Xenopus tropicalis: one gene and its partners. The protein of the gene in region 1 interacts with the protein of each later gene in a pairwise test. Links are inferred from orthologs where the notes say so. Each region holds a gene or a part of one and is shown in the gene's direction. Other genes may lie near its edges.

What was found. The genes of interacting proteins can lie anywhere in the genome.
Region 2: the proteins of ewsr1 (region 1) and prmt1 interact in a two-hybrid assay, tested with the Homo sapiens proteins (2 studies listed by BioGRID and IntAct). The link is inferred for Xenopus tropicalis from reciprocal best matches to the Homo sapiens genes EWSR1 and PRMT1.
Region 3: the proteins of ewsr1 (region 1) and smad4.1 interact in binary tests that used the Homo sapiens proteins (3 or more experiments, as listed by UniProt). The link is inferred for Xenopus tropicalis from reciprocal best matches to the Homo sapiens genes EWSR1 and SMAD4.

The regions. Positions count from the first base shown.
Region 1 is NC_030677.2:144,953,169-144,956,757, reverse strand, and holds part of ewsr1 (RNA-binding protein EWS), read left to right. Parts: intron 1-1,512; coding exon 1,513-1,549; intron 1,550-2,247; coding exon 2,248-2,299; intron 2,300-2,431; coding exon 2,432-2,558; intron 2,559-3,589. UniProt on the Homo sapiens protein: Binds to ssRNA containing the consensus sequence 5'-AGGUAA-3'. Might normally function as a transcriptional repressor. EWS-fusion-proteins (EFPS) may play a role in the tumorigenic process.
Region 2 is NC_030683.2:111,004,769-111,008,877, forward strand, and holds the start of prmt1 (protein arginine N-methyltransferase 1), read left to right. Parts: upstream 1-1,255; 5' UTR 1,256-1,404; coding exon 1,405-1,434; intron 1,435-3,547; coding exon of another isoform or gene 3,548-3,601; intron 3,602-4,109. UniProt on the Homo sapiens protein: Arginine methyltransferase that methylates (mono and asymmetric dimethylation) the guanidino nitrogens of arginyl residues present in proteins such as ESR1, histone H2, H3 and H4, FMR1, ILF3, HNRNPA1, HNRNPD, NFATC2IP, SUPT5H, TAF15, EWS, HABP4, SERBP1, RBM15, FOXO1, CHTOP, MAP3K5/ASK1, MICU1 and NPRL2.
Region 3 is NC_030677.2:205,056,717-205,060,866, forward strand, and holds the start of smad4.1 (mothers against decapentaplegic homolog 4), read left to right. Parts: upstream 1-1,296; 5' UTR 1,297-1,459; intron 1,460-4,150. UniProt on the Homo sapiens protein: In muscle physiology, plays a central role in the balance between atrophy and hypertrophy. When recruited by MSTN, promotes atrophy response via phosphorylated SMAD2/4.

The DNA.
Region 1 (3,589 bases):
GATTAGTCGCCCGCGAACAGGGAGTTTTGCCGCGGGCGACTAATCTCCCCGTGTACCAGAGCCCTGAATGTGCACTGATCCATATAACAAAGGGGGTTATGTAATAAAAGGCACTAAGTTTACCCAGGAGCAGTAACCAATAGCAACCAATCAGCAGGTAGAATTTACTGGTTGCTTGTTTGAAAACACATCTTATTGGTTGCTATAGGTTACTGCTACTGGACAAACTTAGGGGCTGATTTACTTACCCACGAACGGGTCGAATGGAGTCCGATTGCGTTTTTTTCGTAATGATCGGTATTTTGCGATTTTTTCGTATGTTTTGCGATTTTTTTGGATTCTTTACGAATTTTTCGTTACCAATACGATTTTTGCGTAAAAACGCGAGTTTTCCTATCCATTATGAAAGTTGCGTAAAAAGTTCATCATTTTTCGTAGCGTTAAAACTTACGCGAAAAATGTGCAACTTTTCGCGTAAGTTTTAACGATACGAAAAATGATGAACTTTTTACGCAACTTTCGTAATGGATACGAAAAACTCGCGTTTTTACGCAAAAATCGTATTGGTAACGAAAAATTCGTACAGAATCCGAAAAAATCGCAAAACGTACGAAAAATTCGCAAAATGTTCATTTTCAAGTCGGAACTTTTCCAATTCGGGTCGGATTCGTGGGTTAGTAAATCAGCCCCTTAGTGTCTTTTATTACATATGGGGGAAAAAAATGTCGCCTGCATCTATTTACCTTCACATAATGTTTACTGGGGTAGTCCACCTTTAACCTTTAGTCTGTTAATAGCATGGTCTTTTTTTATTTATAGTTTTTGAATTGCTTTCCTCTTGACTCTTTCCAGCTTTCAAATGTACCGACTACAATAGTAAAAAAAAAAAAAAAAATTCAGCCTCTCATTCAAACCACTGCTAGGGTTGCTAGGGTAATTTGGGCCCTCATAACTAGGTAGATGTTGAAAATTTACACTGAAGAATGCTGAGCAAAAAGCTAAATTCAAAAAAATTACCACCAATAGCAAATTCTCAGAAAAGCATTCTCTACAAATTACATAATGTTAAAGGTGAACAACCCCTTAACCTGTGAACCACCAATATAACCGAAGTCTCTTTACATTTTTTTTTTTGTATGTTTTATATACCGTTAGCTTATGTATGCAGCACTGTACAGCAGAACAATAAATTAATAGAACGAGTCATTACAATAATAGATACAAACCACTACAAAGTACAGTTTCATTAAATATTACTCAGTGAAGAGTCCAAGAGAATGGATGTCCCTGCCCTGTAGAGCTTACAATCTAAGTGGGTGGGTAACTTGTAGACCCAAATAGAGGGATATAAAGTGCTGCAGGTTTTAAAGTGAGCGTTAAATATGCTTCACTAGAATGTTTTTACAGGGTTGTTAACCACAACATAACATAAATGCATTGTTATTGATTATTGGGAATGTATAAGGCTGTGTAAGTTGCTTTTTTAACTTAGCTTTATTTTTTCTGTTATAGATTACAGCACCTATAGCCAAACTGGAGCCCAACAAAGGTAATTTGGTTTAGCTATTTGTATATATTATGAACCATGCATTCAGAAGCATTTCTGTGCATTGTTGGCTGAAATCAGGTTGAACAAGGGGCCATTCTGCCACTTGCAACACTACTCTTTATACCACCAACAGTTTATGCTGAACATACTTTTTGTTTTTTTTGTCAAATCTATATTTATTTCATTAGCTAAACAGAGCAATTAAAGCTACTTCGTGGTTGGTCCTTGCAAGATACATCACCAGTATACAACCTCCTCCCTTCCCCCTTTGATGTGACAGTTTTGTTAGCAGAAGTCCAGTGTGTAAGGGGGATTATCTGAGATCTGGTAATCTAATTACCTTGCAAGGCCCAAACATGAAGTTGGCTTTCCTATCTAGCTCAAGAAATATCAAACTGTAGATTTACATTTTGTTATTCTGTGGGATGTTTAGAGTAATTTTAAAGACAGAAAAGAAACGGTTTACTTCTTCTTTGAAGTGCTATTGCAGTGAAATGTCAAAAATAGAATGTAACATGGTAGATCCTTTTCAGTTGATCTCACGTTATAAGGCATGCAATTTTCCTTTATACCAAAAACATGCGCTGGCACTGGTCACAAATGTTATGAGCTGTTAAGCCTAGGTAGGAATAGGAGTGTATTTGTACCTGGCTTGTATAACTTTATTCAGTGCGTTTTTTTTTTTTTTCTTAATGCAGTTACAGTGCATATACTGCACAACCAACTCAAGGCTACGCACAGACTGCACAGGTAATCATGTTATAAAGCATTTTAGTTCATTGTAAGAATGTGCTCTGAATGTACTTGATAAGCTCCATTGCCAACTTTAAAAGCTAATTTTTTTTGTTGAAAAAAAACAAACTTAACAATTCATTTTTGCAGGCAACTTATGGGCAGCAGAGTTATGGCACCTATGCACAGCCCACTGATGCCAGTTACACACAAGCACAGACAACAGCCAGCTATGGCCAGTCTGCCTATGCCACTTCTTATGGACAGCCACCAACAGGTACCGTTAAAGGGCTTGATGTAGCTCTTGCTGAAAATGTTTTATTGTTGAAAGTTGCCATGTTGTACAATCAGTTGATAAAAGCAGGGGCTGCAATTATTGGTGGTTAAATAAATAATTTTTTATTGCAGTGTTAAAGGAACAGTAACATCAAAAAATTACAGTGTTTTAAAGTAATTAAAATATAATGTGCTCTTACTCTGCAAAAAACTGGTGTTTTTGCTACAGAAAAGCTACTATATAAACTAGCTGCTGTGTAGCCATGGGGGCAGCCATTCAAGCTGGAGAAAAGGCACAGGTTACATTGCAGATAACAAATAAACTCTGTAGAATACAATGGCATTTTATCTGTTATCTGCTAAGTAACCTGTGCCTTTTCTCCTTTGAATGACTGCCCCATGGCTACACAGCAGCTTACTTATATAAACCTATAGTAGTCTTTCTGAGGCAAACACACCAGTTGTAGCAATGCAGGATAACAGTACATTATATTGTAATTACTTTTATACACTTTAATTGTTTGGTGTTAGTTCCTTTAAATGCTGCCTTCCTATGTAAGGAGGAGGGTTGGGTATGTAGGGTGTTACTGGTGTAGGGTCTGTTTTAGTCATGCACATCCACTATTTTAGGATCTGGCTGAACCCTGAATCCTTTGCGAAAGACTAGATCGAATACCAATCCAAATCCTATTTTGCATATGCAAATTAGCATAAGGGTTAAAGACAACCACGCAGGAAAAATTAACATTTACGTGTTTATGACAAAAAAAATCATGTGATTTTTAAGGATTCGGGCGAATCCTGCTGAAAAAGACCTAACCCTGGAATCAATGCATCCCTAATCTGTTTTTAAATGATGCTTAGGATAAGGCTCCGCAAAGTGGATTGTCAGCCTGCGTATAAGCGCAAGATGCCAATCCGCCCGTACGCATGAGAAACCTGAATGTGTCTGCACCCGGAAGCATTGCAGGCGCACGTAGCATATATCTGCCAACTAACGCAAGTCTTGGAGTTTACTGGTGAATTCAGTGC
Region 2 (4,109 bases), on another chromosome or scaffold:
GCAGCTCCAACCCGGCCCAAGGAATGTCTCCCATAGGGCTCAATGGCACTCTGCAGCTCCAACCTGGCCCAAGGAAAGTCTCCCATAGGGCTCAATGGCACTCTGCAGCTCCAACCCGGCCCAAGGAAAGTCTCCCATAGGGCTCAATGGCACTCTGCAGCTCCAACCCGGCCCAAGGAAAGTCTCCCATAGGGCTCAATGGCACTCTGCAGCTCCAACCCGGCCCAAGGAAAGTCTCCCATAGGGCTCAATGGCACTCTGCAGCTCCAACCTGGCCCAAGGAAAGTCTCCCATAGGGCTCAATGGCACTCTGCAGCTCCAACCTGGCCCAAGGAAAGTCTCCCATAGGGCTCAATGGCACTCTGCAGTTTGGGAACCTATTATTTGGCTTAATTTCAAGGGAATGTTCACCTTTGCATTTAGTTTTAGTATATAGACCTGTTTATGATAAAAATAACTAGCTAAAACCAAATACCAACTAATGACCCTTATCACCAATGTGCTAGTGACTACCTGCAGTATTGCCAATGGGTCAGGCTGATACTGCTGAGGGCACTGGAAGCAATTTCTTTCAAATAGTCTACAAATGCATTTGTTTATTAACAAAAAAAACTTTCCAATATATAGATTATATTTTACATTATAAATATTGGAAAGTTTATGTTTTTTAATAAACATTCATACATTTCTGGGAAGCCTTTACTTTACCCTAAAGTATTTTATATCTATCTGTTTAATTCAGAGTATTAGCAACCAAAACAGTAGAGATGTGATGCACTTTACAGGTTTCTGCTTTCATGGAATCTTATGACTGGAGAGGACACATTGGACAATAACATAGGCATGGAGTCGTGTGCACAGATTTGTCAGCTCACTTTATACTGATAAGGCTTATATTGAGTCCAGTTCTTCCTCGGAGGATATATGTGTGATTTCTGTCATATAACCCAGGCTAATAAAATATTTTTTCAAGAATAGTATTGTGACTCCAGTACCGCTCGGCCGAAACTCGAACTACTAAAATTAAGCTAGCTCAACATACAAAGACTCCATTTTATTACGCAATGTTTTACGTTTTAAACAAACTCACCAATCAGCCAAGCGAACGAACTGACGGGCGGAGCCCTCTGCCAGTGAGTGGGCCAAGATTTATAGAAACTGGCCAATGGGAGTACGGGGATGGGAGGGGGCGGATCAGTTTCGCGAAGAAAGGCACAATCTGCTCTTGTTGAGGGGTAGAAAAAAACGCGCGAAGGACGCCGGGGCGGTGCCGTGTGTGGGCGGGGCTTGTGCTTCTCTATATAAAAGGCAAAGGGGCCGAAGCGCATGTCGCAGTTCTCTCGTACAAAGCCGGTGGCGTGGCTTTGAGTTTCTTTTTTAGATTCGTGAGAGAGACTGACAAACATGGCTGAAGCGAGCACCTGCAACATGGAGGTAACTAGCCGAGAGAAGAGCTATGGGGAGTGGGTGGGCTGTGCGCTATAGCCGAGCGCTTTGTGAGGCCACTGCGGCCTTTTAACTCTTTAACACTCTACGCTCTCAATGGCGGCGAACTAGCACATCGCCCCATGGCCGCCCCGTTAAATGGCTGGAATTTGCTCACTTAGGGCTTAAACGCCGCAGGGCCTGGGTCTCTGTTGAGCGGTTCTGCAGAACCCCTAGGGTGCCGGGGAGGCGATAATGCTGTAGTACAGCAGTGACTCGTCCTTTTTAAAGGGATGTGGTATAATGGCGGCTAGGAGCCTCGCACACGGGCGTCCACTGCGGGGAATTTCACGCGTGGGGAGATATCGTGACGTAAGTAGCGCGTCCGTGCTGAGAAGCCAGCGGCCACGTGTTCCCCAGGCGATGCCCCGCCCCTAGCCCCGCCCACATGCCGGTAGCACAAAGCCGGGCCTGGCTGGAGCCGGAACACGTGTGTCCCACGCCGCGCTCTTCCCACTGCCCACGGCTCGCCATTCTTCCTGCCGGCTTGTATCGAGCAGTCTCTCAGTAATGGGGTGGGCCATGGCCGCATGCTAACGGCTCCCCTTGTCTCTTGTGAGACATGAGATTCTAGTGTCCCGCCATTCCTCCTGCTCAGTGGGGGGGGGGGGTCGATCCTAAACCAACTTCATTTATTTTATTCGACACAACCATGTGTTAGATCGCTTTTTGTAGATTCTCTGGGACTGTGCTAGAGGGTTGATGGGTAAAGGGCTATAGAGGGTTTGTTCACCTGAGTTACTCAGAATGAGGTAGAGTGTAATCTGAGAATTTGCAATTGGTCTCTTTTGTTGGGTCTTTTAACTTCAATTTGTTCAACATTCCAGTTTGGAATTCCAGCTGCTATTGGGTTGGTAGGGTTCTACTAGCCTTAGCAACCAGGGAGTGGTTGGAACAAAGGGCAGGGATATGAATTGTAGGTCTGAATAGTACGATAATCAGTGAAAAGTAATACAATTGTGGCCATATAGAGCAAAGATTCTTGGGATCTGAGACCCACATCTGAAAGCTGGACCGGTTAGAAGGCAAATTTAGAAACTATATATAAAGCCCCATTGAATACATGTATGTAGCTCTGGACTGGGTTTTAAAATAGGTTTTGGTATTTAAAGTACAGTAGCCCACTGAATAGTTACGGTTTATGGTATTTTAAAGCGGCTCCTCTGGAATTGCCAGATTGGTTGTGTTACATACATATGCACAGATACCCAGATACAAGACCTCCGGCTGAGTGCAATTATTAAAGGTCCTGGAACTCCATATTCTGATCTATTTTATGGTGGTGCTTTTATATTGAATGCTAATTTTGGTAAGATTTGGCAGACTATTTACTTTCCTAGATTTACTTAAATTTTCATTTTGAAGGTGTTAAGATGTGTGGGGCTGAAACTGTTCTACATATTTGATTGTATAAGCCTTACAAGTTGCATCTGTAGACTTGCTGTAAACTAAGGGGCTTGACCTAAGCTCTGATGGCCATTGGCTTACTGATGGTGATTAGCAGTAGTGATTCTGTAACCTTTGACCTGTTAACTTTAAAGGGGGCATTGGCTAAATGAAGAAAAAACTGATTTTGTAGGCAATTATGAATATTTGGGGCTGGCTTTACTTTTATTGGAGCTCCCTATAGATCCTCAGGTTCCTGTCAGTGCTTCAAATGAGGGGTAGGCGTGTCCTTAAGATCCCTGCCAGAAGTACAGTAATGGGGAAATAGGCAATCACAGTCCGGCAGTCACACAAGCAAAGGCTTCAGTTCCCTATCAGGTCAGCCAACCTGATGGGAAACCGATTGGTTCCTATCCTACAGTGCAGTGTACAGAGTGCTGCCAGCCCCCCTTCACATCTAGTGAAACAGATGGGCAGGACTATTAGGGTTTTGGGGGAATCTTTCAATCAGTCCAAGACACAACTTTTTTTTTAGCACAATCCTTCTGTATTTCATAATTTTCACATGTTTCCTTTAAAGCTGTCTGAAATTAGATGCTTGGCTGTTGCTGGCTTGACCTGTGGCTAGCTTAAAAACAAGTTACATTGTGAACTTTTCCATGTTACTTTTTTCTAGAACTTTGTAGCCAAGTTGGCCAATGGAATGAGCCTGCGGACTCCAATAGAAGATGTAAATATCCTTTAAATTTTTGGCTAGTTGTGTTTTGGCCAACTTGGCTTTAGAGTTCATGTAACAAATGCCATTTCACTACATGGTACTGTGGTGCAGTGGTGTTACAGCCTGATTAAAGAAGTAAAGGTAAAAATCCCAACTTGCATGCACAGGCTGGTGCCCAGGAAGCTTGTTTCTGAGCACCCTGCCGCCATGCTTTTCTGCCCAAGTGCACATGTGTAGTACAGTATATCTTGGACTCGCTGTGCTGCTCATGGGATGCACCATAAATAGGATAAAAATGTTGGGGCTATACTCCTGTATTCATGATTACTGGACTCGGGCACCAGCTTCATGAGTAGAATTACTGGTGGTCACACCTCCTAGTGATTTTTACCTTTACGTCTCTTTTTAAAAGTGACTTATACCTATACTTTTTTCAGGGTGCTGAATAAAGTTTCAGACCAGTTGTGAAAGTAGGTAACTTTTAAGATTGCCATGTTTCCCAGCTAGAGACACCACTTGA
Region 3 (4,150 bases), about 60 Mb from region 1:
CCATATAGGTGCCATGTACAGGGGCTATATTCTCTGCAGTCAGGGGCCCATATAGGTGCCATGTACAGGGGCTATATTCTCTGCAGTCAGGGGCCCATATAGGTGCCATGTACAGGGGCTATATTCTCTGCAGTCAGGGGGCCATATAGGTGCCATGTACAGGGGCTATATTCTCTGCAGTCAGGGGGCCCATATAGGTGCCATGTACAGGGGCTATATTCTCTGCAGTCAGGGGCCCATATAGGTGCCATGTACAGGGGCTATATTCTCTGCAGTCAGGGGCCCATATAGGTGCCATGTACAGGGGCTATATTCTCTGCAGTCAGGGGGCCATATAGGTGCCATGTACAGGGGCTATATTCTCTGCAGTCAGGGGGCCCATATAGGTGCCATGTACAGGGGCTATATTCTCTGCAGTCAGGGGCCCATATAGGTGCCATGTACAGGGGCTATATTCTCTGCAGTCAGGGGGCCATATAGGTGCCATGTACAGGGGCTATATTCTCTGCAGTCAGGGGGCCCATATAGGTGCCATGTACAGGGGCTATATTCTCTGCAGTCAGGGGCCCATATAGGTGCCATGTACAGGGGCTATATTCTCTGCAATCAGGGGGCCATATAGGTGCCATGTACAGGGGCTTTATTCTCTGCAGTCAGGGGCCCATATAGGTGCCATGTACAGGGGCTATATTCTCTGCAGTCAGGGGCCCATATAGGTGCCATGTACAGGGGCTATATTCTCTGCAGTCAGGGGCCCATATAGGTGCCATGTACAGGGGCTATATTCTCTGCAGTCAGGGGGCCATATAGGTGCCATGTACAGGGGCTATATTCTCTGCAGTCAGGGGCCCCATATAGGTACCATGTACATAGAAGCTTTTTGTTTTTTTAAGGGCCCCATTTTACAGGGTTCATCACCTTTGGGGCCCAGGTGACTGGAGGGTTAATACTTGAAGCCGCATGATTACTTTTGACGGCCCTGGCTGCTGGTTTAGGATTGGCTGCTGCTGTACTGGCACTGTGAGACTAAAGCAAAGGGTTAATAATATAAATAAAAGGCAGAGGCTTTCCCAAAATCAAGCAGCAGGCCTGGGAGCGTAACCAGCCCCGTTAGCAGAAGCAATCCAGTAAGCAGGGCTTCTTCCAGAATGCAGCACTACTGCGCTAGTAAGGCCCCGCCCACAGACTGGCAATTCCGCCCTGTTCTAATACAGCCACGCCTCTTTCCCTAACTAGCCTTTTCCTTTCTCCACGCTTCCCCGCCTCCTCCTTCCCGCTCCATGCCGGCCCCGCCCACCCCCTGCTCAGTGGCCCGGATGTAGGCTGGATCGCTGCTGCTGTTGCTGCTGGTACGCAGGCGCGGCCCGTATCTGGGGGTTCTTGTTGTCCGCGGCCTGGGCCGCTGTGGAGCGGGCGGGGGGTGCCGGAAGAAACGGAGCTTTTCTTCACTTCGAATTCGGTAAGGAAATAGGCGGGAAGGAAGGGGTTGCTCCGGGCCTGGGCTGGGAGTGTAGTTCCCAGGCCGCCCGGGGATTAGCTGCCTTGCCGCTCATGGAGAGGGAGGGGACGGGCTGAGGCTCCGGGGCACAAACACTGGAGGCGGTGAGGCGCTTGCCTATCTTACGGGCGCCTTTAAAGCTCCTCTTTTCCCATAGGGGCCTATGGGAGTTACGGTTTGTCAGCTCTTACACATATCCTGTGCGGCTATTGTTGTTGCAGGGGATGATGGGAGTTGTAGTTCAGTAAAGACAGAGAAGCCCAAACCCTTATAGTGGTTTCCTAATTCACCTCTTAGAGGTTGGGGATTTGATTGATTGTAAGCTCCCTGGCTGAGGCTGATATGTACAGGAGGGTTTATTGACCCCTAATGGTTCCCAATAACCATGGGGTTATTTTATTGCTACTAGGGATGGGCAGTGGCAGGTAGGGATGGTCAAACCGCCTCTCCTAATGCTTTCCAATGGGTAGAACAGGAGACACAGGGAGAATATACAAATATATATATATAATGCCCTGACTGGGATCGAACCTACAACCCCAACACTTACCCCAGTGATTACTGGACAATACTGCTGTAGGACTCGGTAGCTGGGGCACAGAGAGAGGTTATAGGAATATCTGAGCCTAGCTCCCCCCGCCCATAAACCAGGCCACTGTGGGCTGAAAGGGACTGGCAGGTTTAGGTTTACTTCCCCTTTAAAGAGAATAGTAAGCCTCTAGGAAACATTGCTTCCTTTCAACGCTCTTATGGCATAGGGCTGCTGCCTAGCAACTAGTCATATGTTCCAATGTTAGACTGGATTGTAACTAGGAGTAGTTTTATTTGGCGGATGAGGCCTCTTGCAACAATGTAGCAGAAGTTGATTTCCTCCAGATCTATCTGCTGGCTTCTTCTACATTATTGTTATTAAAGATTATCATAAGGGATAATGTACCCCCTACTGTAAATGATAAGGATATTAGCAGTCACTGAGGGGTTATGTGCCCATATAAAGGCACAAGGCTGCAGGCTGAGTTATACAGGGAACTCTGAGTATCACTCATGTATTATAAGGGATAATGTACCCCCTACTGTAAATGATAAGGATATTAGCAGTCACTGAGGGGTTCTGTGCCCATATAAAGGCACAAGGCTGCAGGCTGAGTTATACAGGGAACTCTGAGTATCACTCATGTATTATAAGGGATAATGTACCCCCTACTGTAAATGATAAGGATATTAGCAGTCACTGAGGGGTTCTGTGCCCATATAAAGGCACAAGGCTGCAGGCTGAGTTATACAGGGAACTCTGAGTATCACTCATGTATTATAAGGGATAATGTACCCCCTACTGTAAATGATAAGGATATGAGCAGTCACTGAGGGGCTCTGTGCCCATATAAAGGCACAAGGCTGCAGGCTGAGTTATACAGGGAACTCTGAGTATCACTCATGTATTATAAGGGATAATGTACCCCCTACTGTAAATGATAAGGATATTAGAAGTCACTGAGGGGTTCTGTGCCCATATACATCGAGCCAAATGCAAAAAAAGACATATAGTGTCACTGTGTCGGTGAACACCAAACCATTGTCAGTTGGCAGATCGATGGGGATGTTGGGCTCACAGGTGGTGCGGCTGCATTGTGCAACCATAAAGCAGAGCAGCTGGGGGTTAAGCCGTGCAGGCACCTTAATGTCTCTGCGCATGAAGCGATGTGATTGGTGGTTCTGATTCCGTACACAATGTTCCTTTGCTGAAATTCATGATCCAGTTCCCCCCCCTTCTGTGAAACATTATATCTGATGCACGGATTAAGCGCCGGGGCTCAAGCTGCTTCTTTTAACAGTCGTTGAGGAGACACCATCAAGGCATATTATTAAATACAGCCTCATTCTTAGCATGCCAGCCGGCGGGCCGCTATCCCATCTACCATCATTGGATTATACACAAGCACTATACTGGGCTGGCAGATTGCTCTGAGCCTCCGTGCTGTACTGATATTAGTACCGGTGTATGCAAGATATCTCCGCCTGGTGTCTGCAATTCTTCTCTATTATTCATACTCTATGCCCTAGGGGGGTTACACAGTTCTGTATCCTTCTACCAGAACAGATCTGTGCATTTAAGTGACAAGCACATATCAGTGTAAAGCTGGGAATTAGGGATGCACCGAATCCATTTGGCTGAATAACGAACAGATTGCTAATTAGGTTACGGAAGGGTTACATCTTCATTAGCAAATGCTTATTAGGGTACGGAAGGGTTACATTTTCAACTTCCGTGTTTACGTGACAAAAAGTCACGTGATTTTTTGAATTTGGTTCGTCCAGGAGCATGGATTCGGCCGAAAGCAAATCCCGAACTGAATCCTGGATTCGGTGCAGCCCTACTGGGAATACACGTAGAATCTGTAATGGTCTGAACATTTTGGCTCCCAGTCCAACAACCAAACCATAATAGGGGCCCAACAGGATTCTGTAATGTGGTGGCCAAACTGGATCCAGATATCAGTCAGACAGGCCAGCAGGAGGGCTCCATATATTGGCTAATATGGGGCTGACTTGATCTGGAGGGACTAAAGGTGGCCATACACAGTAAGATCTGCTCACTTGGTGAGGTCGCCAAGCGAGCGGATCTTCTCCCAATATCCCCACCTACGGGTGGGT